Linked DNA regions of Oryzias latipes. The protein of the gene in region 3 purifies or fractionates together with the protein of the main gene of each other region. This does not show direct contact. Links are inferred from orthologs where the notes say so. Each region holds a gene or a part of one and is shown on either strand. Other genes may lie near its edges. The genes, in order: ncbp3, larp1, serine/arginine-rich splicing factor 3 and mepce.

Evidence for each region.
Region 1: the proteins of serine/arginine-rich splicing factor 3 (region 3) and ncbp3 purify together in Homo sapiens (co-immunoprecipitation; 3 studies listed by BioGRID and IntAct, with this or other methods). This does not show direct contact. The link is inferred for Oryzias latipes from reciprocal best matches to the Homo sapiens genes SRSF3 and NCBP3.
Region 2: the proteins of serine/arginine-rich splicing factor 3 (region 3) and larp1 purify together in Homo sapiens (co-immunoprecipitation; 3 studies listed by BioGRID and IntAct, with this or other methods). This does not show direct contact. The link is inferred for Oryzias latipes from reciprocal best matches to the Homo sapiens genes SRSF3 and LARP1.
Region 4: the proteins of serine/arginine-rich splicing factor 3 (region 3) and mepce purify together in Homo sapiens (affinity purification with mass spectrometry; 3 studies listed by BioGRID and IntAct, with this or other methods). This does not show direct contact. The link is inferred for Oryzias latipes from reciprocal best matches to the Homo sapiens genes SRSF3 and MEPCE.

What each region holds. Positions count from the first base shown.
Region 1 is NC_019872.2:24,113,085-24,120,826, reverse strand, and holds the end of ncbp3 (nuclear cap-binding protein subunit 3), read right to left. Parts: intron 5,583-7,742; coding exon 5,473-5,582; intron 5,074-5,472; coding exon 4,767-5,073; intron 4,400-4,766; coding exon 4,251-4,399; intron 4,182-4,250; coding exon 4,005-4,181; intron 3,546-4,004; coding exon 3,256-3,545; 3' UTR 2,856-3,255; downstream 1-2,855. UniProt on the Homo sapiens protein: Associates with NCBP1/CBP80 to form an alternative cap-binding complex (CBC) which plays a key role in mRNA export. NCBP3 serves as adapter protein linking the capped RNAs (m7GpppG-capped RNA) to NCBP1/CBP80.
Region 2 is NC_019872.2:3,464,351-3,472,092, forward strand, and holds part of larp1 (la-related protein 1), read left to right. Parts: intron 1-4,610; coding exon 4,611-4,745; intron 4,746-4,973; coding exon 4,974-5,126; intron 5,127-6,835; coding exon 6,836-6,998; intron 6,999-7,349; coding exon 7,350-7,494; intron 7,495-7,742. UniProt on the Homo sapiens protein: RNA-binding protein that regulates the translation of specific target mRNA species downstream of the mTORC1 complex, in function of growth signals and nutrient availability.
Region 3 is NC_019863.2:2,321,220-2,329,509, reverse strand, and holds the start of serine/arginine-rich splicing factor 3, read left to right. Parts: upstream 1-4,130; 5' UTR 4,131-4,150; coding exon 4,151-4,340; intron 4,341-5,007; coding exon 5,008-5,218; intron 5,219-5,352; coding exon 5,353-5,496; intron 5,497-5,968; exon of another isoform or gene 5,969-7,702; coding exon 7,703-7,741; intron 7,742-7,897; coding exon 7,898-7,984; intron 7,985-8,075; coding exon 8,076-8,103; 3' UTR 8,104-8,290. Other genes in the region: S-adenosylhomocysteine hydrolase-like protein 1, read right to left, coding at 1,535-1,717. UniProt on the Homo sapiens protein: Splicing factor, which binds the consensus motif 5'-C[ACU][AU]C[ACU][AC]C-3' within pre-mRNA and promotes specific exons inclusion during alternative splicing.
Region 4 is NC_019872.2:14,590,770-14,599,201, reverse strand, and holds the start of mepce (7SK snRNA methylphosphate capping enzyme), read left to right. Parts: upstream 1-3,605; 5' UTR 3,606-4,080; intron 4,081-5,831; 5' UTR 5,832-5,878; coding exon 5,879-7,648; intron 7,649-8,432. UniProt on the Homo sapiens protein: S-adenosyl-L-methionine-dependent methyltransferase that adds a methylphosphate cap at the 5'-end of 7SK snRNA (7SK RNA), leading to stabilize it.

The DNA.
Region 1 (7,742 bases), on a different chromosome or scaffold from region 3:
AGATGCGCAGTCCTTTTCCAAATGACCCAAGCAGCAACTTCAGTGTTTAATAATTGCAAACTTTAAAAGTTAGCAGCCAACCAACCCTTAAAATTGTCCAAGCACAGAAGTCAGGCTTTGTGTGTTTAAATCTAGGCATCGATAACATTATGTTATCTTCTTTTTTTACTTAAATGCAGAGTAATCACATGGAAAGAAGAGTGATCCCAAAACAGAGGTAATTCCACACAATGTCAATTTTGAAGTGGGAAATAATTGTTTGGATTTACCTCTATTGAACTGAAAGTTATGGTTTGTTCTTGTGGGCTTTATTCTTACGATGGGGGACACATATAAAGAAAATTAAGATTAAAATTGTATTTCTGAGTATTTTTTTATTCGAATTGTTGTGAATCAGGAAGAGACAAATAAATGACTTTTGAAAAGAAGCTTATCTGTGATGTAAAAATATACTCAGCGGGCCACAAGCTCCCTGCTCTGCTCCATTCTGATGCATCCACTGTCAGACAAATAGATCCGTGACAGTCTTTGTTTTCCTCATCCGAGCTGGAATCTGGATCTAAACTGTACGGCTAAATAACTCCAATATCAAGCGCCATTTTTGTTGCACCGGTAAGGCTAGGTTGGGGTTGCGATGACCTGTAAGCTAGGGGGAGAGCATGTAAACAGATCAGTGCTCCCCGCCAACTGTCCCGCCCACAACTCAGAGGTGTATTTCTAATGAACTCCTGCTGCTCTGCAGAAACTACTGTATGTCCTAGAAAAAAACCCAGGTCTGTGACTATGGATTAAAGTGGTAAAATCAGAAATAAAAGACAACTGGGAACACTTTTACAAGAGAAGTACCACAGTGGCAACAGCAGGGCAGTGGGCTAAAACTCTTATGAAAAGAAAGGGGCTGCAGAGGATGGTTTTGAGCCTCTTTAAGGGGTTACGGTTTCAGCTTTTCAGCAGCATGAAGCCTGTCTGCAGGAAATACCGCCTCCAGCTTTGCTGCTATAGACGCAGCAAAGACAGAGAGAGCAATCCAGCACTGAGAATCTGACACTTTGAACGGAGCGATGGGACCTGCACCAGCTGCAGCATGGGCCTCTCGTGGGGCTGAACACTCGTGTGCCGTGTGTGGAGTTCTAAGCAAACTCACCTCATTCAAAAAATCCTGCCAATGTGGTGAGAGCATCTTTGGTTGGATCACCAGTTGGTGAACAAGTTCATCATTTCATCAAACCATTTTGTTAATAGTTATATGTGGCACAAGACTTTTGACTTCCACTAACTAACTAACTAACTGGTTTAGGATCAGCCTTTAAGTCGGAGCCCAGGTCAAAAGCTCAGGACCTCTGGGGCCCTCTGCACCAACACACGGTCCTCAGACAGACATGTGCTGCAGTCTAGTCTGTCTGGGCAGGATATCCAAGTTAATACATGTTATTTACTAGTCCTCCACCAACGACAAATACGTGTCATCGTTGCATGTCAAAGACTGTTCTAAAATATCTGATGGAACACAGATAGAGGTCTGAAGCTTGGGAGCACCACCATCTAATATTCCTTTCCATGAAGCTAACACCGTTGCATCGTTTGTCTGCACCATCCCATCAGCCAAGATGTTGGACACCTTCGACCTTTGCTTGGCGGAGGCCTTGAACCAGATTGTTTGATAGGTGGCTGGGCACCATATGATGTTTCAGTGGATCACATCTGCTCAAGTCTCAGTCAGAAGCACAAAAACATGCAAAGCTTCCTTCTTAGATCTATTTTTTTTCCCGTCAGAGGCAGAGCAGCGGCCGGGGGCCAAAAGGTGGTGGTTGGAGTCACCCATGTGCGGGGCCTTGCTACGACTTCACGCCACTGTGTGCAACCACAAGTCAAGCTCTGTCGGGACCGTTGGGCTCAAGTTATCATCAAAGTCCAGAGCCGACAGACATGAGCCCAACATACAGGAAATGGTCACAGAGACCATCATTTACTGTGTGAAGGTGGTTGGTTTCACCTCAAGCTGCTGCTACTGCTGTCAGCTTCTTCTTCCCTTCCCGTTCTCTGTTAACTCAGCAGACCCTCAGTGACCGACTCAACCCGCATGGCTGAAGTCTTGTGTTCATTATCATTCACAGCTGGGCTTTTTTTTTGCTTCCTTCTGACTCATATTCTCTGAGTGTTTGCCTCACAGACGTGATGCAGCTAAAAGAACCACCTGTGGAGCCTTTTCTTTCACACAAGGCTGTTTTTGGTTTTCCAAGCATGAAGTTTTGAAGGACCGATTTGCACGCACGGCGGCAATTACTCCAACTTTTGAGTTGAGCTTCTGCCTGTCATCTTGGTGTGTCGTTTGAGGAGAACAGACTTGGGGAGCTGAAGTTTACATCAGTGCTGAGGAATAAAATGCAGCTACTTTGATGTGTTACAGTAAAATAAAATCAAACATACCAGAAGCTTTGAATGACTTCAATAAACCTCTTAAAAAATAACATTTACAACACAAAGGTGGGCTTCATAGAGACAATAGGCAGCATTTAGGCTTTTCCTGGTGCTCAGCCAGCAGATGTCTCCCTACTCGCTGTTTGTGGCAGCTATTACTTCAGTCAGTCTGAAGTTCTCCGAGTGCCGGTGTGGTTTTTCTTTCATCGACAGAGTGAGTCTGACCATCCAGGCCTGAATCAGGTGTTCTTGTGAGTACTTTTCATAGAAATACTGTACACTTCACTGGTCTATTTAGTAGCAAGTATTTCAATGATCTAAAGAAACTTCTGCACTGTAAGAGAATCAAAGCGGAGCGCGGCCTGAGAGCGTAAGGTGGAGTTGCCATCTGGGCTGAAACCTGGCAGGTTTTCCGTGCAGAGAAGAAACATCAGGAATAAAAAACATCAGCCATCTTTTTAATGAGGATTCATGAAGCTTGGAGTCTGTGGACCCACAACATTTCAGAAAAAAACAACCAACTCAGCACCAGGAGATCCAGTTCACACTTTTCTTCCGACACAGGAGGATCCTCTGCTTCAGGAAGAGAGCTGGAGGCGGAGTCTGTCTCCGTGGTAACAGGAATGCATGGCGATGATGTAGAGCAGGTGCAGGGTTAGAGTTTCCCGTCATGCTTTGCTCCATCAGACAACACCTTTGAGAAGTTCAGGAAACTGAAAAACATTTTCAAGGAGAGAGAATCCAGACGCGATGACAGAACCAGCAGGTCCGGTCCGCCGCCTGGGCCCGGCTGGAGCTCTGAAGTTCAGGAGAGTCTGGCCGAGTTCCTAGTCGTCCTCAGGCGTCAGAGTCGTCGCTGCTGTCACGGCTGATCTCGATCTGCAGCGACGGCAGGCTGTCCAGGCGGCTCTTCTTTCCCTTGTGGCCGAGGCGCTCCTGCTTCTGTTTGATCATGGCGCCCCACATCTTCTGCAGCATCGAGTCGTCCTCCTCCTCCTCCTTCTCCTCACCCTCTGCTTTCTTGCCTGCTCTCCCGCTGCCTTCTTTCCGACCTGAAGAGGAGGAGGACGGAGCCGAGTGGTCGCTCCCTCGCCGCTCAATGTTGCCGAGTCTGCTCCAGAGGTCGCCTGAGGAGGAAACGGCATTAAGAACGTGAGAACCTCCGTTCTGGATTGGAGAGTTCGGCAAGTCAGATCGGGACTGCTGTTGTGTTCCCTCCCAACATGGCGGTACACCTTTTGCCGTCTCTCTGATATTTTCAGTGCAATTTTGCCGTCTTTTTACATTTTTTTTACAGCGTACTGTTTTTTGTCATCTGATTGGCTGCAGACCACTGTCAATCAATCTCATCAGTGCCATGTCTCCTGTACAGAATGCGTTACAGAAATCTTTGTTTTCATTCTATAATACTTCATTTCTATGAAGGTTTGAACTTTGAGAGTTTAAAAAAGAGAGAAACAAAGTGTGAGAATGTTTAAGTCTGTCTGAGAAAAGTGTGTAGTGAGGAGATTTACTGCTTTGATCATCTGACATTCCACTTCAAGGATTTTCGGTTATTTTTAGACGGTAACTCGGTAACACTGTACCCGTCTTTCTGTCTTTGGAGCTGGAGAAGACGCCTCTGTCTTGACCGGCCACGCCAAGTCTGCTGTGCACATCTCTGACTGGCTCTTTGCTTGGGGGCGTGTCTCTGGGGGAGGCAGGGGAAGGGGTGCGGCGTCTGTCCGGAGAGTATCGCCTTTTCCCGAGCCGCTGCCGGACATCTGCGGGAGAGACGTAGAGTCAGAGGGGACGGAGTCCACACCCCGGCAGAAGCGGCGGCTGCCCCTCACCGGTCTTCCCGCCGCTGGCCACAGGGGGGGGCTGTCTGTGATGGGACAGCCCCTGCCGCTTCTCCAGCAGCAGCTGCCGGACGTCCGTTAACTTGGAGGGGGATGAGGATTTGGCTCTGCTCTGGGTCCCCGATGTCCCGATGCGGTTCCTGACAGAGGAAAACGTCAAAATAAAAGCTTTTCTGAACCCATCCTGACCCGGGCTTGATGCAGACGAGTCGGCAGTTTCTGAACACTCCCCCAACAATATAATTTAGAAACTCTGTAGGAAGTACCCTACAAGCTGAACCACAATGATGAAAACATTAACATTTATTCGATTAAGATTCCAATGAATTAAAATTTCTTAAATGTTAGTTTCTGAAAACCAATAATGATCCATGTCTCACTTCCTGACCCTCAAAAAAGATTTATGGAGTTTAAAGACAAAAGTTTACCATCTGAAGACTTGCTTTACACAATAAAAGCCCGTCCAACTGTGTCACATGACTACAGATGACGGTGGGCGGGGCTCACCGGATGCTCTTTAGGTGGCTCTCCACCTCGTCGGCGTACATGGTCATTTTTTTGCTTTTCTTTGGCGACGGCGTGGAGATCATCTTCAGCTCCAGGTCGTAGTCCATCTCATCCGACTCTGACCACGGAGACGGAGATCGCTCCGCACTGCTGCGAAGCCCCGCCCCTCCAGAACGTGAGCTGCCTCCTTTGTCCTTAAACTCCACCACCCTGTCATCAGAGTCCATGTCCTCGTCACTGGCGTCCTCCTCCTCTTCCTCCTCCTCCTCCTCTTTGATGGGCTCCTCAGGCAGGTTGACCAGGTCAGCTGAGAGGAGAGAGAGTACAGATTTTTAGCCCCGCCTTTATTTGGTTTGAGCCTTTATACCAACTTTATTTCAACTACCATAACCCTTTGACCTTTAACACCATAAAGGTGAAACAGGAGATTCTGAAGCTTCCTGGAATTAGGTTCATTGTGTAGACGATCAAAGAGTTATGGGATATGATGGAGCATGCGTTATTTAGGATTCACCGGTGACATTTCCTGTGTTAAAAGGTTAATTCAGTTATGAGAAAATTCTGCTTCTTTGTTGAAGGAAAGCCCTTTCAGATTGACTGAAAACTGAATGAATTTTAGATTAAAACCTGAAAACTGGAAACTCTAAAGACTATGCGTCAGTGAATGCAGCCTCATGGAGTTGGGCCGGATCCCCGGCGTTCTCACCGGAGTGCCGGTGCGTGTACGGCGGCGTGTGTCCCATGTTGTCTCCAATCAGAGGCTTCTTGCTTTTGATGACGTCTCTTTGGATGCGTCGGTTGTGGTACCTCCTCTTCCTGAATGGACAAAAATCAGAGTTTGGACGTCATGAAGCTCCACCGTCAGCAGGAAACGATACTCAAAGTCCCCTTCAATGAAAATCATGTTTTTTTTGTGTGTTTGACATGTCCTTGTGGCATTTTTCTTATGACAAATGTAATCATTTCATTTATGCATTTCAGAGTATTTCTCCTTTTAAACTGCTGTCAATCAAACTGTAACAAAGACGATCGGTTTGAATTAATGAGCTGCTGTGATGTCACAAGCTCCGTCCAGGGCGCACAAGGTCAAGTGAGAGACGAGGGAAGAAGGCACTTTGCTGCTTTGCCCGCCGCACGCATTTCAAGTGTGTCCAAGGCTGGATTTTGTTGTTGGTTTAATCTCTCTAGGACCGAGTTTGAAGGCTTGCTGTCCCGCATTAACCAGAGAGGGTAAAAATAAAAACAAGAAGAAAAATCAGGGGACCTTTTTTATTTTTGCCTCGCTGAAAATAAGAGAAATATGATAAAGTTCTGGAGGCCCAAGCCAGTTGGCTCCCCATCCCACAGCGGGTCTCTGTCTGCCGAGCGAGTCGCGTTCGGTGTGAACGCAGCTCAACCGTAACCCTAAACGTAACCCTTCCTTTGTGTTCGTGCAGCCAAGAAAAACGTTCAGCACGTGTTTGGAAAATTCCGTGCGAATATTCCCTTTCTTTCTGGCATTTTCCATGTATTTGCTCTGCAAGTCAACAATCTGCAAGAATCAAATCAGTTGGGAGCCACGGCCTTCCTTAAAGTTCTTTTTGGTGTGTCATTTTACTAAACAGCAGGGTCTGGTGCACACATTTGTTTTGTCATTTCACACATTGTTTGAAAAGTGTTGATTTCCATTCAGAAATGTCACTTTTCACTGTTTCTTTATCACCAAACAGAAACTTTGGAGAATAGAGACTGTCAGTCAACGTCCTGATACGTGGCTGAGTCTTTCAGCATGACAACCATCCCAAACACACGTTGCCCGGGTAACGAAGGAGTGACTTCGTAAGAACCAATTCAAGGTCCTGGAGTGGCCTAGCCAGTCTCCAGATCTCAACCCCACAGAAAATCTTTGGAGGGAGTTGAAAGTCTGTTTAGCCCAGCGACAGCACCAAGACATCACTGCTCTAGAGGAGATCTGCATGGAGGAATGGACCAAAATACTTACAGAAAGCATTTGGCTGCCGTCATTGCAAACAAAGGTAAAATGTAGTATTGAGTTGAACTTTTTTACGCTATCGACCAAATACTTATTTTCCACCATAATTCACAAAACAATTCTTTAAAAATCAGACAATGTGATTTTCAAGATTTGTTTTTTACATTTCATCTTTCATAGTTGAGGTAAAATTATGATGCAAAATTAAAGACCTCTCTCATATCTTTAAGTGTCACAATTAGCATCTGACTAAATTCTTTTTTATCCCACTATACAAGTCACACTTTTGGGAGAAATGTATTCAAAGAAATATAGGAACTAGAACGGACATTTCATCTTGAAAGGCAAATTCTAATAAAGGAATAAACAACAATAGACTGAATATATACCATACACACTTCACTACCGTAAAACAGTTTGAGCCAAACCTTCAGCCACTCTTTTCCCAAACTCAGGAATTCTCTCCCTCCTGCCCTCCGTAACATCGACTCATCTGTTTAAATCTGCCTTTTCTCTTTGGCATTGTGCTGGTAGCTATTGTGCACTTATTTTTTACATTAGCGCAACAGATGAACAATTTTTCAGATGACCATTGCATAAAGAACATAGTCACAAGTCAGCTAAGCTCTATACATCGCTTCAAATCACTAAATCCATTGAATCCTTCTTCCTCTGTGTCACTTTAGAAGCCCTTTTCCAAGCCTGGCATGCAGCTCTGTTCAAGTCACCACTTCCAATGAGAAGTCTATGGAAACGCACGATTCCAGCTTCTGCCTTCCAAACTCCTGTGTTCACGCGTAGCTACACACATTTTTACAACTGTTTCCGGGCTTTACCTACAAAACGATTGAACACGTGTTTAGAGTTAAATCAGGTAATTCCTGTAGGGAAATTCAGTTGTAGTAGAAGCACAATAAAATCAATACGAAATACACAGGGAAGAAAAACTCTTATATAAATGACAGGAGTTATATTCCAGCACTCACTCTCTCTCTTTTCTCAAA
Region 2 (7,742 bases), on a different chromosome or scaffold from region 3:
GTAGTACATGTCTCATGACAACAAAGGCTGACTGAATGTTTAACACAAGCTGGTTCTGGTTGAGATCTAGTTGCTGTGGTGCGGCGTAGAGCTGCTCAGAGAGACTCGGTGTCGGGTGACAAGTCAGACACTGAAGGAAGCCTCATAAATTAAAATAAACAGTTTCTTAACACCATTTTAAATCCGATATAAGTATCGCCAAATGAAATATCGCGATATATCGCCAAATCGATTTTTCCTACACCCCTAGTAAAAACCAATTGCTAATGGTAAACACACAAAACAGTCAGAAATGCAAACACTTCGGTTCCTCCTCATGAGTCTCATCTCTTGATGCTGAACCTACGCAGAAAAGTTTAATTCGAAACATTCAAAATGTAAAGTTCATAGACTCTTGCTGGTTGTGTCTTGATTCCTTCACTACTTTATAGTGCGTTCACCATTTTGTTCAAACTTACAATTCCAATAAACAATACCCTAGAAATTTCCCAGAAGTCTCTGCAAAAAGCCATTGATCATCAATACTCACCAAATTGGTGAATATAGACCACAATGCATTGCGTTTGAACAATTTTTGTGAAGAAAAAAAAAGTATCATTTAGTTTTCATCATCAGAACATGATAGTTTTAGTAAAGTGTTCACATTTTTTAGGTTTTTGCTTCAGGAAATCGGTGACGTCAAAGTTTGCTTTAAAAAAAAAAAAAAAAAAAAGAAGTGAAGAAGGTGTCAAAATGGCTGGTTAAAATCCAGGGCACTAGATGGTCCCACACTACAGTTTGGAGTAGATGGGACTTCATGTGAGTGTTGTGGTGCTTGCTGTATGAAATGGCAGGGATTGTCCTGATGGGACAGTCTGAGAGAAGCTCCAGCTCAACTGAGACACTAAAAGCTTTAATGGTTGGAAAAATGAACTGTGAAGGATTCATGGATTCAGCAGAGGGAATCGGTTCTCCATTCTGTTGTCGGCGCTCAGACCCGTTTCTGAGGAAGACGGCGCAGCGGCTCAGACTTTTCCTCAGTTGGAGACAAACGTTCTGAAAGTTTTGACATATTTGGTGTTCGTGTTATTAGAGAAAAAACATGGACTTTGCGTCCTTGGAAGTTCAATGTCATTATTGCTCGAAATATTTACATGAACTCCATAAGAGGAGCGTGAACTCAGGTTCACGCTCCTCTTCCTCAAACAGATGAGCTGGTAGAAGGTGGTGATTGATCCCTGATTGCGGATCTGAATGAGCAGACTGGCTTTTCATCTCCAACAGAATACTATGGTGGCCCAGAAGTGCGAAAAACATTTCAAAGATCAGAACGGCAAAACAAATTTTTAAAAAACAACAATACATTTAAAAAGACAAAGCTAAGTTCCAGACACCAAAACGTGAAAAAAAAAAGCAAAAGTAATTTCCAGAAATCCAAATGAAATGTTAAAAATGAAACAGCATAAGAAACTGGAGAGGGTAGAGACGATGGGACATCACTGATTGGATGGTGACGTTTGTCCATCATTTAAATTGAAAGTTAAATGGCATTAACTGATACTGGTATCATCATCCAATCAGCCATGTCTCATACAGTGATGAAAGTCTTCCGGGAATTCCCGGAAATCCGGGTTTTTGAGCAAACCGAACGTACTTTCCGGGAAATAAAGACCTGATCTCTACGGACAAATCGCTTTCCGGATCAAAAAATGGTCTGAAATCAGCTAATTTTAGCTTTATTTTCTATATTTCTCCGCAGATCGCTTCCTCTATGGTCGTGGCCATCTCTCATCTTCCCGGCCTAATTGACCAATGACGGGACGTTTTAGTTGCTTTTGGATGCGTCGACGGGTCTGATTGGCTCTGTCTGCACCACGTGGTCAGCGTGACTTGCTTCCCTAGAGACCAAAACTGGCGGACCCACGCTAAATTTTCACAAACACACCTGAAGAGTTTGCGATCAAATTTGTGTTAAAATAATGGCAGGCATCGTCATTATTGAGCGTGGTCACGACCTCAGTTGTGAGAAGACGATAAAAAACAAATTGAAGTGGTCTTGGCTGGAAAAAAAAGATTTTTAAGTTAGTGTAGGTCAAATACTTTTTTGTGTAAAATAATCTCAAAACCACATTTTGAAATAATTTCAATTTTAGTTTTGAGTTTCAGTTTTTATTTTGAATACATTTCTCTATCTAATTTATTTGTATTTCCTAATAAAAATGATTTAGTTCAGTATAGTTGACATTAATTATAAGTATTTGATGGTTTGGACCCACACTCCCTTAAAAAATAATGTTTACAATGTTTAGTTTAGTTTTTATGTTTGTTTTGATATTTCCCAGATTACTTAGTATTGGTGTTAAAGAATTGATGTATTATGTTATAGAATTATAGTTTAAAGCAGATCCCATATTTTGATGTAGTTATACTTTGAGAAAACAGTGCAAGTGGATGTTGTACATCAGTCATTTCTAAAGCAGAAATAATGTATAAATAACTGAGGTATTTTCATAGAATATAATAGTTACTGGTGTTCTTTTTGCCATTTGGGGCTTTGATGTTACTATATTTTAGCAATTGTATGTTTTGCAGCTTTAAGGAAAAGCGTAGATTGTAGGATTGTGTTACTTTGAGCAATTTTCCAAATTCTTTTTTGGGACCAGCAAGTCCTTAATGGAGAGTCAAACTAGGGGTTTGAATGACAAATCATGATGCTCCAATTAGTCTTAGTTTCTTGATAAAGAAGTGAATAACTAGCCGCCAGAATGCACCAGAATGCATCTAAGACCACGTATTTTTCCAAAATTTCGCTCTGTGCCCGCCATATCGCTCAAAGAAAAGTTCAGGGATTTTTTCCTTGCCTGACTTTCATCACTGCTCATAGTACCTACCTTTCCAGGTTCTCATTGTGTTTTTTGTTTTTCCACATTTCTTTTTGGTTTTCCGAAATGTTTCTTCAGTTATTTTATACGATTTTGTTTTCTAAAAAGGTAAAGCTATGTTTTTTAAATGTGTCTGGCTTTTTAAACTGTCTCTGTGTTCTTTAAACATGTTTCTGCATTGAGTGGTTTGTAGATGCCACCGCAGAATAGCAACATGAAGCGGCCTTGTTTTTATTTGCATTTGCACTTTTCTGATTTTCACTTTCTGCTCAGGAACCTGAGTCGGCCTCCTTTTCATTCAGGGCAATCAAACGGCTCTGACTGTTTGAATGCTTGCCACATAAACTCATTATGCTTGGAATGACTCATCATTCAGAGGCACGTGCTCTGTCACTGACTTCAGAAAGCTGGTTCAGGACGCCACCTGCTGGCCGGTCATGGACCTGCAGAACATTTTTGTTTTCAATCGGGATAAATTCATTTATTTAGGTAGCGATTCCATTCATGACTCAAGACGATTCCCAGATCAAACTACAATTCTTACTTTACAATATGTTTTGTTTGAATGGTTGCTATGTGCATGTCTTTTTAAAACTCAAATATTAAATCACCGTCATTTTTACCTTTTTTTTGACCAGAAGATCAGAATCAACAAAAAACAACAGGAAAAATAAATGGTATTTATCACTTTAAGGAGTGTAACACTCTTTTTTTGGTTAACTTAAACATTAAACAAAAAATCTTTTTCAAACAAATCCTAAAAATGTTCCAGGTATCCTCAAAGTTTTACTGACTAACTAGAAAACACCTTTCACCTCATTTTTTTCTAACAGTCATGTTTTATGAACCTTAGCTGACGCCTGACTGCAGTTTCATGATTCCACATCACTCATTGATCATGAAATCTGTGTAGTTTGCTTTTTTTCTCACATTCATTCAATTTTCATTCTATTTTTTATTGAAATTGTCGACTGTATTTAAAAATCCTTTTTTCAGAACTTGTCTCACTTTTTAATTTCTAATAACACTTGATAGTCTTACTTTGAAAATAAGGACCTTCACCCATGCTTTACTTTGAATTATTTACTTCCTGTGACAGTAGCACATACTTTTAGCTTAGTTAACATACTAAAAATCCAATATTATTCTGCAATTTTAGAGCAATAATTACATTACCTAAAGTGTATTTTTACTTTATCAACTTTGCTAATCAGCGATCTGGGACGTCACAAATATTCATTTCCACATTTTCTAGAACATTTCCAATATTCAAGTATTCGGATGCTAAATAAGAGTTTTAAGACGTTTCTGCCTAAACCGCAGCTAAAGCTAATTTCTGAGGTTTATTCAATTAAATGGACTGTATTTATTCATAAACATTTCATATTTGTAATTCTTAAATATATCTTAGTGAGTATACTGTATTGTTTGGCTGTTTCATCATATTTAAATGACATTGTGTCAAACGCACAGAAACCTGAACCGTGTTTTACATAGAAAGCATTAAACATTTTACTGAGCTCTTTGTTATAAAAGATTAGTCTAAACGTTTGACAAAAAATTCCATTTTCAAAAGGTAATATTATACTAACTAAATATTGGAATACTTGTAAAATTCACCTCAGGTATTTTTAAATTGATTTGAATCTCCAGGAAAAGGTTTTGCTGTGTTTTTGGATGATTTCTTTTTCATGTGTTCTTTGTGAAATGTTGTTTTGTTGAGCGTCGCCTCTCATCTCTGTCAAACAGCAAACAAGCAGAAGTGGGTTCCTCTGATGATCGAGGTGAAGTCCGAGGGTCCCAGAGAACGCTCCGCCTCCAGGAACAACAGCAGGCAGAACGAGAACCCCCGCCTACCTCCCAACGCTCGCAACGACCTCAGAGGTCAGCCCCGCCCGCCCTACGCGTCGCCCTCTGTGCTTTTGTGCGTCCACATGGAAGTGTGAAGGAGGAAGTGTGTGGTTGTGGGTGTGTTGAAGCGGCCGCCGGCTTTGTCCGCTTGTTTAAACTATCAGTCAGTAAAATGCTGGATGGATTGTTTCAAGCTTTTAATTTGAAGGGTTCGCTGTGGCCGATGCTTTCACTGAAGGACGGTTGCTCTCTTTTACGCAGACTGGCACAGTCAGAAGCACGAACGGGAGTGGCACGACGACCACGATGAGGTGTCCAGCGTGAAGAGCGAGGGGGCGCCGTTCCGGGGTGGGTTCAGAGGTCGTGGACGCGGACGGGGAAGAGGCCGGGGCCGAGGAAGAGGAGGAGGCAGAGGTAATCCTTTTCCTCATCCTCTCTGCTGATCAGACTCAAACATGACGCTGCGGCGCCAGCCTCTCCTCTCCAACAGCTGACACAAGCGACGTGACTAACACTTACATGTGTTTACGGGGCTTTGCCCTGCTCTTTGACTCGCAGGTTCTGCAGTCAGTCTGACCTGTAAAGCCAAAGTCAGTCAGTCAGTGAGCGAGGCGTCCACGTCTGTTCAAATGCTTTCAATGTTTTAAATGGCAACATGCCCTGAAGGGGTTAAACCCCAAACATGATTAGTTCAGATGGAGATGCTCCTGATGCTCCTTTGGGAAAGTTGGTGGTGGTTGGATGGATGCACCAAGCGGCTCCTGGAGCTTCCTGACCTGGAGGCTTGATGCAGAAATGATGAGCTTCCATGTCTCTTCTCTGATTGAACATCTTGTGGAGAAAAACCCGCACAGCTCTGATCTGCGGCTCACCGCTCTGACATTTAGTCTGGACCTAAAGTCAGGCTTAAAGCTTCTGGTAAAACAGCCATTCTCTGTAGTTTATTTATAGTTCTGTGACATCTGGAAGCCCAGAAGAGAAACAGAAAGTATGACTGGCTGCTAAAAATGACTCATGGTTGTTTTTCGTCCAGAACAGCTGAGCAGGAAAAACCTTCATTCCAAAGCTGCTTCTTTTCACGTTCTTTAAAAAAAAAAAAAGAAACTTTTTTGTTCTCCTCACTTTTTTGCGCTTCTTCCTTAAGCGGCCTGTTTCCACAGGAGCGTCTCACTTTTGTCCAGACTCTGTGGTTCTTTGTTTGGATTATTTTTTGTTGACATGGAAGTGAAAGCCGGCTGAACAGGTGACGACAAAAATACTCAGCAGCAACGATTTTCCCTTTTAGACGTGTTTATTTCTGATTTTCAATAGAAAAACGCTTCGTATTTTAGCTTCAGGCTGATCAACTTTGTTGCCAAACTGTCAGATTTGACTGTTAAGTTAGAACCTTTTTCTCTTTATGGCCTTTAAAGTTCTAAAACTACAGCTGAACAGTTTTTACACCCAGATTTTTAAAACAAAAACATTTTGTTTTTATTCTGTTCAGTTTCAATTGTTTATTTGCTACTAAATACATTTAATTTCCATTAGGATATTTCCTATAAATGTGGTTTTTTTCTGCTTTTTAATGTTTTATTGCTTGTTTTTGTTGTTGATAAACCAGAGGATCAATTCTTTTTTTTTTTTTTTTTTCAAAATTGTTTTTATTGGATTTTAGAGCAGCAATATTAAACACGTGATAACAATGATTACACTTTTTTTTCCTCCCCCCATTGAAACCTAGAACAAAAGGAAAAAAAAAAAAAACTCCAAACAGAAAGGCGATACACATCCCATCACTACGCCTAATATACACCAAAAACATATAATAATAGTAATGAATCATTAAAATTAAGAAAATAAAATGGCAGCACAACATATTTGATATATCAAAAGAAACTCTAGGATCAATTCTTTAAAACGAAATATTTTATGTTCACATAAAAAACGTCAGAATTCAGCTTTTAAAAGACAAAAATTGTCCCTATCTAAATGTTTATTGTATATTTTATTTTTGTGTCATAAAAAAGAGTTAAAACCCTAAACCTGATGCCCTTTTTACATTTATAATCTGGATTCGAGAACATCTGATGTGCAGAGAAACTAACATTTTTTCCTGTTAACGTGGTTCTCCGTTCTGGAAGGTCACTACGACTACCACTGCACCTACAAGTCCTACGACGGGAAGGACGGCTCCTACAGCCAGAAGTTTGGCAACTCCGTCACGTACTACTACGACAACATGAGCAGCGCTGAGCTGTACTCTGTGGACCAGGACCTGCTGAAGGACTACATCAAGAGACAGATGTGAGTCCAGCTCGCTGGGAAGAGGCGTATACGGACGAGGAGGAGGAGGAGGAGGAGCTGCAGAAGTGATGAGCTCTTCATGTCTCTTCTCTGATGAATCATGAGCAGAGAATTTTGACTCTGATCTGAGCTGTGAAGCAGGTTTTGTCCTGAAGCAGAAGCTCAAAGTGAACCTGCTTCTTGTCTATATTTAAACCTTGAACAATGTGGTTTCTGTTTCCACAAATACCAGCTTCCCTCCTGGGAACTTGGTTCCTCTCCTTCTCCACCACGGACGCCACGGCATCAGTTGAAGCATTTGTTTGTGTCGTTTTGTTGGTGACTTGAGTGGATCTGGTCTTTCCTCTGCAGAGAGTACTACTTCAGCTTGGAGAACCTGGAGCGGGACTTCTTCTTGAGGAGGAAGATGGATCAGGAGGGCTTCCTGCCCATCAGCCTCATCGCCAGCTTTCACCGAGTGCAGGCCCTCACCACAGACGTCAGCGTCATCCTGGAGGTGAGCAGGAGCGGACGAGTCCACCTCTGCCGTCGCTATGGAGACGCATGCTCAGCTAGGACGGGAAAGCCTTCTGCGGGCTGGTTGTGGCAGGTTTTTGGAGCTCAGGTGTTCAGTTTGTCATCTGCTTTTTGCAGTCTGCATTGAAGGAGCCTGACGTTAGTGGATTTTGATGATTTGACTGATGCAAAACGGCGACTGAAACGAGCAAGATTGAGAAATATTGGTGTAAAACCCCAAAAAAGCTT
Region 3 (8,290 bases):
AACAGAGATGTTTAGGATTTTGTGTGTGTTCAGGAAACAGGAGAAGGCTCACATTTCTTTTGTCTCCCCCCTAAACTTGAGTCCCAAACGGTCCAGGAACAAATAAAAGACATTCATTAATGTTTACATTTAGGCCTGGAGCCTTCTTTAAAACTGAAGGGGAGTGGAGTTTCTGGATGAGATTGATTATGTTTTAGTCGGATTTTGTTGCACAACAAGCCAAGTCGTTGATTTAGGACGAACCACTAAATCCACTACATTTCGCCTCACTTTGATTGTAAACTTACGGAGCCCCTAAAGGGACATTGAAGAAAAGAAAAAAAACAATTGAACCAAAAAAAAAATAATAATAATAAATAATGTTTATTATAATTAATAATCCTTTTTACTCCAGTTGTTTTTTTCCTTTCTTCAATGTCCCTTTAGGGGCTCCGTATAAACTACACCGAAGAATATTTTACATAAAATTGGACATAAATCCAGGCGTGAAGGGGTTAACATCTGACTGTTTTCATCTGGTATTAAGACTCTGGCCGTGCTTCTGTTGGAGCTTTGATGTGGACCAGAACACCAGACCCGTTGGGTTTCACAGCAACAAAGAACGACCAGAATTTCTGCTAGAACACAGTGGTGTTTGAGGAATCCCGGCCTTAAAAGGTGATTGCAGGTAGAGGGACCAACACATTTAAGTCATTCTTTCTGGTGGATCGAGTTTATCTGATCACTGATGAAACGGAATCATTTCTGTGCCAAAAATGGGCAATAAGAGAGGGATTCAATAACAGAGAAGGTTTACATTTCTTGTGAATTGAGTGAAATGTGAGTCCATGTCTTGACCCACAGAACCAAAGACCAGACAAAAAGTGATGTAGAACAAAAGTCTTCCTTAAAGCAAGAATGAGGATGTGAAACTGAAATGATCAACTTTATATTTGATAGACGCTTTATTATACCTTAAAAAAAAGACTTTGAATATGTCCGTTTTATTGGATTGACTGAAAATATAGATACGCAAATATAATCCTGAAGATTTGGAACTTTGTTTCTTTGCCTTTAGCTCTTCAGGTCCGGCGATTTCAAACCAAAACAAACCTTTGAACTCAGTAATGGTTGAATGTCCAGAGAGGTTTTCTGTTGCACATTCAGTCAAAACAGCTGACGTACAGTCATGGAGTGGACCCCCCCCACACACACACACACACACACACACACACACACACACACACACACACACGCCCATCCCTGTCAATATATTGTATTTTGCAAACACAGAATATAATGCAGAAATCTGAAGCTTCAGCAGAACTACACGCTTTTATTTCACCCAAGTAATGACAAACATTTCATCTGTAATAAACATGTTTCTGACTAATATAAAAAAGTTTTTTGTTTGCTTTTTACTAAGATGCATTAAAGCACAAAAACAACCACATAAAGCGTGCATACACAACATGTATAGATGCCAGCTGGGCAGAGAGTCAGTGGGAAGTCGCTGCAGGTTGGTTTTCAGGGGGACTTTGGTTCAGCGTCCTACCTTTTTGACCGGTTTGTGAGTGGGCACCGCGCTGAAGACTGACGAAGCCAGCTCTCCCATGTTCATCTCGCTGTTTTTGCTCACCGTCATGGCAGAGTACTTCTCCGCGGCGTTTTCACTCTCCTTCACCTCTTTGCTCGCCTGCTTGACCTCCACCTTCGCCTCCACGGCCGGCTCGGACATGTTCGCGGCTGCGTGACCTCACCTGGACACCGAAATAAACCTGTAAGTCAGGAAACGTCACAAGTTCACGCGCGACTCACTGCTGCTAGCCGCCCGCTCGAACGCAGCAACTGACGGCAGCCTGTTTAGATCATCATGCGCGGACAAAATGCAGCAAAAAGCAGCTGTCAGATGGGCATTTGGCTCGCCAGACCGTGGTTTGTGGCTGAGGAAAGCAGTTCTGTGCTCCGTTTTTCCGCTGAGGCTCCAGTCGTGTTGTTCCCCCGCTGTCGTAGCTGTCATTAGGCTGAGAAACTTTGTGGGCGGGAACCAGCTGTCTGCTTGGCGGCTACGTCACTGCTGCGTTCAAGGCCAGATGGAATCGAAAACTCCAACTAAAGAAAAAAAATCTCCAACTACGTATTTTATTTAGAATTACCAAGATGCTCAATTCAAGAAAGTAATTCATTTCATACCCAGATGCTGTAAGAAAAAATCATTTTGACAGTTTTTCAATTCTCTGAGATACTAATTCTTCATGTGAATTAATTTCAAAATTTGGCAATTTCTGAGCAGAGGCCCAGGGGAAAACCCAGGACACGCTGGAGAGACTAGTGCTGTGTCCGAATTCCCACCCTAATCTCTAACTACTAAAACCCTATATACTGCGGCACTCTATAGTTCCCATGATTTTAAAAGCAATTCGGACACCCGTGCTCACTACTTTTCTCTTTCGGGTGTTGTTCATATGGCGCTTGACAAGAAAACAGAATAGCGCATTACCGCCACCACCTGGTCTGGAGGCGAACTACTTCTACTTTAACACCGACTAGGACGAAACCAATTTTCCAAAGTAAAAACCCAATAAATATTAACATTTTATTCTAATGCCAAATTTTTACATATTTTTGTTGGATATCCAGTATCAGGCCATGATTAAGGGGTTTCAGCGTAGCAGCCCAGTTTACACAAATCAAACATAGTCACCTGAAGGATACATCCTTTTAGGTGATGGTGGGTGTCCCTGCATTGCTCATCCCATCACGCTGCAGACACCCTACAGGGAACCCCTGAGAAATGCGGTTGAGGCCCGTTACAACCAGCACCACTCCAAGGCACGCTCTGTGGTGGAGATGAAGACGAGGTGGAGAGCAGTATTTCTGGGGGCGTTGGAAGTAAAACCAACCTTCGCGGGAAAATCATTGCCTGCAGCACCATCCTGGACCATCTGTGCATCGGTGAAGGGGACTGGTTGGAGCCACAGATGTTGAGCCACAGCAGGACGACACCAGGAACCAGCAGAATACCACATTATTTATAGTCTTTAAAAGAACATTGGACAGATTTGGAGTCACGTTGGAAATGACATTAGTCATAAAACTGGAAAAACAATCACATTTTCAGAAAAACAAACCATTTTGGGCTGTTATGACAACATGAAGCAGAACTTTATTTTTATAACACAATTTATTTTGTTTTTGAGAAATTTCATATATATAAAAGGAAATGGTCAAACTCTAAACTTGATTTTGAACACTTTTTGAATGAAATAATTAAATATAGTGAAAGTATCAAACAAATAAAAAAGAAAAAAGAAATTTCAACAAATGTAATATTTCAAAAGGTAATTTTTTTAATAAACTCTGCAGCTCATTGTTATTTTTTTGTTTTGCTTTTGTGATGTTCCGTACATTGTGCATTCCTTTCTTTTTTTCTTTCCTTATTGTTGACATTCATGCTTTTGTTGTTGTTTATGACTAAAACTTCAAAAACTGTTTTTTTTCTTTTTTACTTCTTTAAGATCCATTTATAGACTAAAGTACTGAATTGCGACATTTTTTCATCTGCTCCTGGTTCACAACGATTTGAATGAAGAAATACTTAGAAATGCAGTTTTAGGCCTAATTTTCTTCATAAATGTCCTCCAACATGAGAAAAATGCCACAAGAACATTTAAAAACACTAACAACACAATTCTCATCGCTGTTGGTCTTTAACTGCCACCTGTTCTCAGCTGCATTTGATTAGTTTTATGCAAAAGTTTACATCCACATTACTTTACATTCAGCTCTATTAATCTTTTTTTACTTATTGATCACTCCTTTAATACCTTTTTATGTTTCCTTTAATGTTTTATGTAAAGCCCTTTGTATTGTCTTTTTTTTAAATGTTCTCTACAAATAAACTTGACTTGTGTATAACCACTATTTAAGTATAAAAGGAAATTTTTAAAAAAAATCAACAATTTGTAATTATTTGTATAAATGAAAACAGCTGCAAATATTTTTTCTCCATGTATCTTTTGGAGAATTTGATACAACCAACAAACCCGGAAATGAACAGTCAGCGTAAATTGGCTGCTGTGAAACAGGCCTCTGCTGTGGCTAAACCGGTTTAAAATGTGCTGAAGTGATCTTCTCGGCGTTGTCCCGGGGAACACCGAACTGGCTTTTGATGTCGACGCTCGCGAGCGCGCACAGAGAAGCCCCGCCCCTCGCGGTGCAGCATCCTGGTCACTTTTTACAGTCGAACGTATTCTCCGTCACGCCATTTTCCACCGTCGGCTGGAGGCAGTGCATCGGCGAGACGGGTGCACGTGAAAAAGAGTTCTTCTCAGCGGTGAATTCCTTCGGCTCCGGTACAGGTAGTGCAGACATTCACGGACCTTCAGCGCCGTAGACACGTGCTTTAGCGCTAAAGGAAGCAGCCGCGTGCGCCATTGTCTGATCACGTCGTGTGTTGAACCCGCCGCCGCCGCAGGAGGAGAAGGCCGCGGAGTATCGACAGCCATTTTAGCTGCTTTTATTCACCCGTTTTCTCCGTTAGTGAAGTCTGTGTGTTTAAAAAAAAAGTCAAACTACAAAACTGAAATAGAGTTGCTAAGTGTGAGCTTAAAGCTACCGGTTATGGCTAACTTTACACGATCGTGTGGCTAAAGTTAGCATTTTATGCTAACTTTGGTAGAAATGTGGATCAGTTTTCTAAATGATGATCGCGTGTAGTGGAAACTCGATGCGTATTTAGACCCAGCCCACCAAAGTAAGAACATTTGTAACTATATTTATCGAAATCTTCGTTTGTTTATTGTGGCTCATTGAAAAACAGGTATTTGGAGCATCATTATCATCGGTGGCAGAGCAGAGGCGGATCTCCGGCCGTACTGTTAGTTTGGTCTGTCCTGGTTCATCCACGAAACCGATCAGTCGACTACAGTAGAATTGCTTGATTTGAAACCAGAAATGTAATCTATCATCTTCTTATATTTTTAGCTGATCCTTGTGTTTATAACCCCGTGGTTTTGATTATTCCAGATTCCATCATGCACCGTGACTGTCCCCTGGACTGTAAGGTCTACGTTGGAAATTTGGGCAACAATGGGAACAAAACCGAGTTGGAGCGCGCCTTTGGCTACTACGGACCTCTTCGTAGCGTCTGGGTGGCCAGGAACCCCCCAGGTTTCGCCTTCGTAGAGTTTGAAGATCCCAGAGATGCAACGGATGCGGTGCGAGAACTGGATGGAAGGTACGTCCCTCCCTGTGTGATTTTTGTAGGTACGGCCCGCAAAATCCTCCCAAACGGGTTTGTCTGGCCACCAGCAATTCCACAGAAATCAGCGTTTGGTATGAAATGAATGACAGGCGTGAATGTTGTCGCAGGACACTGTGCGGCTGCCGGGTGCGCGTGGAGCTGTCTAACGGGGAGAAGCGCAGCCGCAGTCGCGGCGCTCCTCCATCGTGGAGCAGGCGGCCGCGGGAACGGGACGACTACAGGCGGCGTAGCAGCCCGCCACCCAGGAGAAGGTAACCCAGGGGTTCTTTGATGGAAGGGATTTCTTAGCTTTATATCCTCTTATGTGATTTACTTTACAGTACATTTCCTGAGAACTGCTTTTGGGTTTCCAGTCTGGGTTGTTGTGTTGTTAATTTATCTTTTCTTTCTTTCTTTTTTGGTGACTGTTGACCTGTCTGCGCTTACTTTGTGCAACAAGGAAAACACACAAAATATTCAAATATTTGTCAAAAGTACATTGTGTAGAATGGGACTTTGGCTTTTAACAGCCAGAGTCCTTTTGTGTGTGTTTCGTGTGCACACCCAAATCTTTGTTTAGGAGTTTGACAGTGACAAGAGGTCATAAATAAAGTTTTTAGTTTGGAAAAAGAAGTAAATTTGTATAAAGTTTGGGGCGGGCGGTGTGAGGGGTAAAACTGCCAAATGTCTTTATATTTTTTTTTTACTTTTCATCTATATTAATAAGAATGAAACCCATTGCAGAACCACCACCATGCCTCTTCTCACCACCCTCAGTCAACTAGTCCTCTTTCAGCATCACGCGACTGCTGACCGTCGTGTCCCAATCAGCTTGGCTGGTGCTGTCACATGACCCAGGCTTGGCCAGTCGTCAGGTTGCACCAGCCCATTGGTTCCTCAGCATGCCGTTCTCAACCTCCTGCTCCTTCAGCCTTAAACCAAAGGGCAGCCACCCACTTCACATTCCCGACCAATCAGCGTAAAATGTTCCCAAATGTCTACAACCCACCAGCAGCAGCCGTCAGCTTACCAATTAAAGCAGGAAAAAAGCCACAACCAGCCCCCATCTGCCTGCCATCTAATCACCTTGCAGCATCTGTCCACTCCTATTCCGCCAATTCTACCTACGCGGCCGGCAGTCTGCCTTCCTTTCGTCATATCTAGCTTGTTGAAATCCAAAAAAACTAGTAAGTTTCCCTGCTTCATTCAGTACACTGCTGATTTCAGTTTTGAAAGTGAAGAGACAGCTGGTTTGAAGAGACTTTTATTGTTTAAACTCTAGCTTTGTCATCCACCATGTGAGTCTTTGTTTCAATGGGAGTGATCAGATAGATGGAGCCTGCTGTCAGAGGAGCTTGATGGTGCTGATGTTAGGGGATCTGGGCACATCGTAGGTCACAGCAGTCACAACTCTGTTAGCTGGAAAAAGGCTAGCTTCAGGTAAACGGGTCAGTGGGGGGGTTGATTAGTCAAACACAGAGCAGTTTACAACATTTGTTTCTTTTTTTTTTAGCACAAGAAAAATTTGCAGCCTGTTTCAGTAATTTTTTAAGCTATCTTCACACCGAATGGGATTCACACGTCGAAGGCGTCCAGTTTTGTGCTGACACGATCTGAGGTTCGGCAGCGGCGCCTCGGGCGGTGCATCCAGACTTCAAATGTCTAAACGTTGGCGTTGAATTCGTTAACCACCCAGGGACTTGCCTCAGGCCTGTGATGACGTGATCTGAGGGCTGTGTCCAAAACCGAAATGGAGAATCTGATAGTTTTCCGTCTGAGCTGTGTCTTTATTTGTTCCCACACAATAATAAGTTCCTCTAATTTTATTTTCATTTTTCCCCCTCGGACGACAAGTCATTCAGACGAAGCTCCTGCGGTGGACGGCCGAGCTCGCCGTATCAAGTGAGGTTGAGTGATGTCATGAGACGTGATTACCGATGCTTTTGTGGAGCTTTTCCATGTAAATTTTGACGTCAACCGTGTCTTCTGTGCATTGGAAAAGAAATGTCAATGCTTCCCAGTAGCCGTCGGGCTAAAGAATTTGGACAGTAGCTCCTCCCCCATACGTGGCGGAGGCGTCAAATTTATCAACACAATTCTGGACGGGCATCCAGCTGCGAATTTGAGGCGTGAATCGCGTTTGGTGTGAATGCAGGGTTGGGCTTCATCTTAGGACACACTAACCCCTATTCATTTTTTCTGACTAGAGTAGTCATGTGACCTGAGTAGTGTGGTGGGCTAGGTTAGCAGAGATTCCTGATCTTCTGCTTTCTCTGAGGGCTTGGCTTTATGGTCAGTGACTCTATTTTCTTTGGGGATTTTTTTTTTCCCTCCTGGAAATAAAGGCTTTCATCTCTGGTTTTTGTTGGCGACAACAAAGGGCTGTTTGAGGTAGTCTATGGTAGAAGTCATATGATGTGGAGCTTCGTTGAAGAACCAAATGTCTTTGTGCTCACCAGCTGTCTTTTCCTTGTGCAGATCTCCCCGTAGGCGAAGCTTCAGCCGCAGCCGGAGCAGGTATGTCTGCATTCTCTCGATTCTTTTATCTCACTCATGAATTTCTCTATCTCTGACATCAGTGATTCTACAATAATTTCAGGCGAACTCGTGTGCACTTTGCTCTTGATTGTGTCACAGAAAAGCAAACCGTCATGATGGTTTCTCCTTTTTCAGGTCTTTCTCCAAAGACAGGAGGAGAGAAAGATCCCTCTCCAGGGACAGGAACCACAAACCCTCTCGGTCCTTCTCTCGATCCAGGAGGTACTGCTGCCATCCTCGATTGATCTCAGCCTGAAGTGTTGAGGATAAACATGCTTTGATTTAACTCATTGGTGGTTCTTCCTGTTCACAGCCGCTCCAGGTCAAACGACAGGAAATAGAAGAAACCGCCGGTTTTAAGGGAGCTGTTTGGACCGGCTCCAGCTTTTCGTTCAATGGACTTCAGCTTTGACATTTAGTCTTTTTGTTTTTCTTTTTTTTTTATAGCAATCGAGTATTTTAGATTATGTTTCTTTTTACAGATGGGGTTGTTTTGAGTGCATTGAGCGTCTCAACGGTGCTTGTTTG
Region 4 (8,432 bases), on a different chromosome or scaffold from region 3:
TTAAGTATAAATTGCTAGATTTGCTACCTTTTGGAGATGTTTTTCTCTTAAGATTGGTGTTCTTTTCCTATTTTTTGGGCTACCTCTAGTGTATAAGCCGTCACGCACTCTTCGCGTCCGATCCATCTAACAATTAACCAGACCTGGGCGTGGGGGCACCGATCAGCTCCCAAAGGGCAACGCAAAATGCTGTCCATGACAACACAGGCCTGATCGAGCCCCTCCCCCTGACAGCTGGCTCATTGTGTGGCGTGGCTCTGAAGCGGCCTTGTTCCCCCTTTGCTTGGACAGTTCAATAACTAATCTCGGTGCAGCCAAGAGAATGCAGCTTTTTAAACGAGGGGGGCAGCTCTGATGGAAAGTCATAATCTGTGTGTCAGTGTGGTGCACGTTAACTGGTGGACCACCTCGTCAGTTCAAATGAGGTAGAAAACTAGTTTTGCAGTGGTTGCAGGGGTGATATCACAAATCTGACATACTTCCTTTCATTTTTTTTCCACAATTGTGTTACCATTAACAGTTTACTCCTATTTTAACAGCTAAAGACTTCAAGAAGATTACTAAATGTGTTTTCTTTGTTAGGAATGAAGTAGTTACTTTAATATCTAACTGCACTTGCAGAATACTTAGTTTGACAGTTTCAATGTTTTTGTCGCCTTCATTCTCCTTTGCAGCATTTTTTTAGGTGTTTATTCAAATGTATGTTTATAATATCAATATTAGAAAAGCATCCCACACTGTTCACATTTGTCTACCTAAACTCATAGGAATCATTCGTAAGTTCAAATCAGGCAGGTCATTTAAAAGGCAATCACTCCCGCTTTTGATCCCACGTGAAAGATGACACAATCACCACTTTGCTGACCAGCAGCCAACGGTCACTCACAGTGGCACAGAGTGTGAACTCACAGAGTAGACATGGGGGTTGTTCTGATGTGACCGCACACGGGACACGCGAGCCGGCCCCTCCCTCTGTCACACGCAGGATAATGACCAGCCGGCTCGTGCTCTTCACAGAGGGCCTCAAGAACCATATGTGTTCACCACTTTCTGCTTGGACACACACAAACAATTGAATATGTCCAGAGCGCTTGAGGCGCAGACCCTGAGGAAGGGCAGATGGTGTCCGGGATTGAAGACCGCACCCACATTACCATGAGAAAAGAGGGTGACAGAAAAGGAGGGGGACAGGTACCCTCTCGTTTTAGTTTTCTTCCATAGAGACTACAAAGGAGGGGTGACTCATTAAACCGGAGAGTCTGTTGCACTGATTTGAAAAGCAATTAGGAGCATGCTCCACACTCAGACTACCAGAGATAATAAAACACCCGTTGAAACATTTTTTTCCCTTTTTCCAAATGTTACTTTGTTATTTATTTTTATTATATTGTCTTCCAAAAAGTTTTATATTAGCATAATGTTAAGGGTTAGGGGAAAAATATATCAAACTTTCTGCATTATTAATATTACATGTATAAGTCACTGATAGTCGTTATTATTGTATTATTGTTTTAAGAATTGATGCAATGATTTGAATTTCTGTTTTTGTGGAGTTTTGTGGGGTTTTGTGATAGCCATCAGAACCAGGCCTACAGTACAGAGAGATAACACTGATGTTACAGCTGCATTCAAGCATTTATTGAATATTACTGGAGGATTTTACTCTGGATAAGAATTTACTTATGAACTTGAAATGTTCGATTGACCACATGCACATAAGCAGTTTTCCCTCTGGAGGGCATGCAAACATTGTGCTGGTGCCTGTCACAATTACAGTAACTCAACATATACATCCAAAGTTAAGTGATATTTTATTTTACAAATCAAAATCGAGTCTGTTTACTTACAACGATGAAAGGGAAAACTAATATAGCCTTAAAAAACGCGTAAAAATTAAATTCTGAAAGAACATCCAGTGTTAAACGCAGGATAAAACTGTTTAGAAAAATGGTAAAAAAAAAAGATTTGATCGCCCCCTTGTGGCCATTCAGAAAACAGATGTAAAAGGTCACTGAAGCAACATCAAGGTGTCCATGATGGCAGTCATATCTCACACTAACACCCAAATAGACTTAAATACCAGAAATACTTCATAATTGTGTTGGAAATATGAAGTATGTAGAAGAAAACAACCCTAAAGCTTATGTGTACAACTGTAGTTGTACACTTTCATTTGACCTACAACAATAAAAATACATAACATGTAGAGTACAAAAAAACATGCTACTGCAAGAAAGAATAGTTTATTGTAGTCATTGATTTTTTTTCTTTCATTTACCTGTTACTGTACCTTCCATATATTTTGCCAATTTGTTTTTAAAAAAATAACTATTTTGATTTTACCCTCAACGTAATAAAGGCTGTAAGACAGAAAATCACATGGCTTGATCTATAAACAGTTGAGAGTGATGATTTTCAATCAAAATACAGGGAGAGCTTTGTGTAGCAAATGCAAAAAAAAGGGTTTGGAAGAAAAAAAAACAAGTTATTCAAAGCAAATATTTAATGTTTTCATTTGCTACTTAGAAAGTTGTGCTTGTGTTAGCATGAATATCACTTCATGCGTGGTAAAATGAAAAATTAATTGTGGTCATTTAATTTAGAAATAGCTGTTACATCAGCTAAATGTCAAATTTGAGACACTTTTTAAAAATGTGTTAAAATGTCTTTTGGCTTCAAACTAAGCATTTCAGGCTGCTAACTGTAATGAATTTGCTTGAAAGTGTTGAAATTTGCTGCCGTAAAAGAAAGCTGTTATAAATCAAGAAATAGCCCTTTACAAAAAGAAAACAAATGTAATATAAAATGATGAGAAAGTTCATAACTCCTAAATTCACTTTATTTTCCCAAGTTAGATAGTTACAAATATTACAGGAAACTATTGTACTTTCACAGCTTTGTATCAGACAGCATCTCACAACTGTTTGGCCAATTTCTTATAAGCAGCGATCATGCATTAATGTAAAAGGTTACATCAATCTGAAATTCTGCTAAGAATCTTCCTTTCAAGAAAATCCAAAGTAAAGTTGTGAGCAGGTTACTGAGGAGGCCACTTGTGGATCTGTTCCATGACTTAGAATTAAGCAAAGGTTATTCATTTGACTGCTGCTGCAAAAGATTAAACAAATCTAAACACACACTGTTGAGGTGTTTGACAGTCAGTATTATTTTATACTCTCGTTCAATTACAGATCTGAAATTAAATCTATTACTATTAGAAATTTTGCTTTTTCCAAACTTTTAAGCACTTTATCACATTATTTCACTTAAAGGACGGACAGACAGACAGACAGAAGATAATTAATGGTATTGCTATAATTTTTTTCTCTTGACAATAAGATTTATTTTATGCTTTAAAAAGTGCTACTAATATACTGAAGATGAGAGATTACTGTTAAAATGATGGATGAAGGATGAGGTGGTGGGAGGGTGGTCAGGGCCGCAGAATTGCTCAATGTGGACCTACTTTGTGTTGTTGGGCATCTGTGCCTTTATAGTCCCGTTTTTAGACCAAAACAATGGCCAAGTTTGTTCATTAAAATGTGTTTGCTGACTGTCATTAAAAGTTCCACTCGCTCGCGGCCTCTTCTGGGATTAGGGGTCTGAATCTAATGGCAAAGAGTTCCCACTACCTTGCGCGAGCTCACAGATCTCCGCCCCGGTCACGTTAAGCTTACAACTCGAAGCCCGGATGCGCCGCCATGCCGACTCTCGTCAGCGAATGCTGTCATTTATTCACCAAACTGTCCGCCTGGAGTTGACCGAACAAGTCGACAAGGCAGTGGGGGAAACAAGAGAGACCTAGTGGGGTACAGGCCGTGCTTTGCGTGTAAACCGTGAGCGCCGTTGGGCTCGGAGACACTGGGGTGCTAGCTAGGCTAACGTTAGCTTGAGTGGAAGCAGAGCGGGGTGGAGACGGCCCGGCCGGAGGCGGGGAGAGCACCACCGCGGGGTGACACTGGGATCCTGACGGTGACCACACTGTTCGGCGGCCATCTGGGACATAGTATCACTTTCCCGTACCGGACTTGGGATTTGTTTGTTTATTTTTGTTCTGGATTCACCCGTCAGCGCATGAAGGTGGGTACTTGGTCGTTTATTTATCACCACTGTTGCTCCAGAGCTAAACGTTTAGGCGACGTTTTCAGAGCTCTGGCCCACGATGGAGGAGCTAAGGGCTAGCATGCTAACCCAAACTACTGTTCCAGACTCTGACTCAGAAACTTCTCAGGTCAGCAACCTCCGAGTGGACACGCTTCAGATGTCAGCCTGTCAGGAGGGCAATGCTAACGAAAAATCTGCCGCGGACCGTAGGACCTTTAAAATTAATATAATAAAATGCAACACTCAGCTAAAAACAAAGTAATTTATTTACTATTAAGAAAATTATATGTTTTATATATTCAATATGCCCGGATTCTCCTTTATGATTTTATTTGCTGTTCGTTTTGTCCATCTTATTACTTTCCTGACTTAATTATGGAGGCCAGAATCTGCACACTGACTCCCCAGATGACTTTTAATGCATGCAACCATAAAGAACAGATTGAAGTTTCCTTAAAACAATGTCGATGAATCTCAAATCAATTCTTTTTTTTTTTATCAATCATAGATAATGCAGTTTGCATGATTTTAAAATAAGGCTAAAACCGAAAACACTGAAAATCCAAATATTTTGTTTGGATTTTTTTGCAAATGACATCATCATGACAATATCCTACAGTTTTATAAAACCACTTTCTGAGAACTTCAAACTTTAGTTTTGGTAACATCCAAATCTATTTTTTTAATGTAAAGCTGATAATGAATTATGAAGTTGCAGAAATGTTTATCCAGGAAGTTGTAGATATACAAATATAGGATTGTCATCTTTTTTTTTTTTTTTTTTAAAAGTTAACTCTTCAATTGAAAACAACAACAAAAGCATTAACCTTTCTTTTAGGCTCTAAACAGTAGGAATAGTGGAAGAACAAACATGTTTCTTCTACACAGGCACAAAAACAATAGCAACAACAATAGCAACGTCACATCTTAAAGGTGTATTTTTGGTTTTGGAGAATATGATGACCTTCTGTCCCTTCTCTGTTAGTTTAAGTTTGAATGTAGTTTTGTTAGGAAGTGCATGAGGAATATTTGTGCCTTCTAATCAGGTGGCACAAATGCTATAAACCTTATGTATCTCTGATAAGGTAGAGCAGCAGAGACGGGTGGAACCTCCCTCTATATGCTACCATGAACCAAGCAGGAACAGTGTGGTTAAAAAAGAAAGATGTTTTGTCTGTACTAGCATTTTTGACCAAAGCATGTTGCAGATGACATCCCAAATTATGATTTTACTTATTTAAAGTCTATTTTAAAAAGTGTTCTCAGTGGTCTTTTAATTAAAATTTTGTCGTTTTTAGTCCAAAAAAAAACAACCTATATCATTATCTAGGATGAATAAATTTGTTGCTTGTCGTTGTAGGTTTCACATCACAGCTTCAAGCTTTTTCCAATGGCATTTTTCATCTGCCCCTGATTTGGAACAACTGGAATAAAGGAACACTCAGAAACAAAATTTTTAGCTATATTGTCTTTATACTTGTCCTCCATTGTTAGAAAAACGCCACAAAAACTTTCATCAGATTAGGTATTTAAAGTTTTTGTTGGCAAAAACATCAATTATCATTGTCTTTTTTTTTTGCATTCTTTGTAATGCAATTAAACAAAAATCTACCTATCGGTTGTTTTGGCACTTTTTTGGAACTTAATTTAATGTTTACGGTGTTTTATTCAAGGGATTATAAGAGATCAGATGGTCCTTTAACAGCTGTATTCTTCCTTGTTTTCAGACAAAGGACAAACAAGTTTCAATGAACAGTTCTGGAAACTAACAGAGATGTCTGTCGAGGAGGACGCCATAAAAACTGGCAGTTTAGAGGCCAGGTCAACGCCATCTCTGCAGCTCTCAGACTGTACTGGAGGTTACAGCAGTGTGTCCGTGATGATGGAGGAAAATGCAGCCACGCATGACTTTGCAGCTGCCTGTCCTGTCCCGGGCACTGCAGCCTCACCAAAGCACACGAGCACAGACAGCGCGGGACAAAAAGCCAGAGGGAGCGAGAACAGCATCAATCGCAGGAACAGCTTCCCTCACTCCAAACAACAGCAACAGCAAACGAAATTAACCAAGCGGCGCTACACAGCCAGTTCTAACTTCAAACATCCCACATCGAGCAAGAGGAGACGAAGAGCCATCTCCGAGAGTGACTCTGTCCTGCCCACCAACTTTCTCTTGGGTGGCAACATTTTTGACCCGCTTAATCTGAACAGCCTCCTGGATGAGGAGGTCAACAGGGCACTTAACGCAGAGACACCAAAATCCTCTCCACTTCCTGCAAAGAGTCGAGATCCAGTGGAGATCCTCATTCCGAGAGATATAACTGATCCTCTGAACCTGAACAGCGGGATAGCAGACAACTGCTTTTTGGTGTCCCCCTACAAGAGCGGAGGAAGAAGAAGGCATCGCAACAGACATCATGGTGGGGGTGGTGGAGGAGGCGGAGTTGGTAGTGGGATTCCAATAACGCAGGCGAACCACTCCGAATCGACAAAAAGTGAGGTCAAAATGAGCTCCTCCACACAACTTTTAGGTACGCAAGGCTCTTGTTCGGTTCTCGATTCTTCTAAAGAGTCCATGAGTTTCTCTAGTGTCACGGCAGATTCCCACGAGAGCACAGCTGAGAACGCAGCAAGCGGCAAAGATGAGACGCTGTTTGTACCTGTCGAAGAATATACCTGCCCCCTGTCGGGGGGGCCAAGCCACCACGCCGGAAGACGCAGACGAAGGCGCAACTCAGGCAAAATTGATCCTCCTGTCACCCATTCTACTCCCAGCGGTAAATTAGCACCAAATGACAAAAGTTGTGGTACAGGCGGAGCACAAAATTATTTTCACACACCAAAAATTGGTCCCAAAACTGGAGGGGGGTCACGTTCGTACCAGCAACCTCACAGTCAGGCAAAAGGACACCAAAAGAAGTTCCAGTATGGAAACTACAATAAATATTATGGTTATCGCAACCCGGGCAACAGTGAAGACCCGCGTGTTCGTGTATTGCGTCCGGAGTGGTTTGAAGGTAAAGATGTGCTGGACTTGGGGTGCAATTCAGGTCACTTAACACTCTACATTGCCAAAATGCTGCGGCCTGCACGCATATTGGGGCTCGATATAGATGGTGGGTTGATCCATGCAGCTCGTAAAAACATTAGGCATTATCTGTCTGAGCTGCAAACCCAGGAGGCCAGACAAGCTGCTAAACAGGAAGAAAGAAATGACAAGGATGTCAGCACGGGGACAGACGAGAAGCACAGGGACACCGAGCGCAGAGAGGAGCACTGCAAAGCAGAGAGAGGACAAAGAGGCACTGCGGAGGCTGAGAGTGACAATGGCTTCTGTCACACAGATGATGTAGGGACTCCAAGGCAAGATGACAAAACAGGAGAGACAGGACAAGGAGACTGTGAAAAGCAAAGCGCTGATCAGTCAGTGAGCTGCTCCTTTCCCGTGTCTCTACGGATCTCCAGAGGACCCATCGCTGCACCTCCTTTGACCGAAACACCCACCCCTCAGCCCGGGCAATTTCCTGCCAATGTCTCCTTTATCAAGGTACGTTGATGTTGGGCAATTCCATTTTAATCTTCGTAGTTTTCACGTGTTTCTAATGTCTTAGCTATGTCAAAAAATCACAGAAATGTATTATTCTGCTTCCAGACTTCAAAAGAGAATTTGCACATTCTTCTTGTCTACATGTCAGTGTATATAATGAGGATCTTTGTTTGTATGAATGTCCTCCATTGTCTTCATAGCTGTTGGAATCTTGGCTTTTTTTTTTTTTGTTCGTGTTAATCAACTAACAGGAGCATGCTAAGTCAATTAGCAAGTCAGCACATATGTGGCTAATCTAATCTAGTTGTTATGGAAACATTAGTAGTAAAAAATAACGACTCATCTATTTGTACGGACAGTATTTTAGTTTCCTTAGAAGACAGCAGAAGTCAATACTTAATGAATATTTAACAGCATAAAATGCTGCTTCCACCAAAGTGCTGAGACCAGAGACTGGAGAGTCGGGCCTTCTTGTTCTCACCTGAGATCATTGTGAGGCTGCAGAGTGCCACAGTCTCTGCCATCTTGGATGCAGTGTTTAAGCTGCTGCTCACATCAGTCTTTTAACTCCTTTTACTACAAGTCAGATGCTCATGCAAGTACTTGAACTGCTGTTTTGTGGTAATCCGAGAGAGCATTTTGCTCCACCGTTTAAAGAAAAAGAGCATGCAGAAATAACACAGACACTGCAGTAAAGGCATGCACCATTATAACTAGACAACTCAGTCCCTCCTGCAGTCAGTCTGAAGTTACGTTCACACCACCCTCGCCGAGGCGCGTTCAA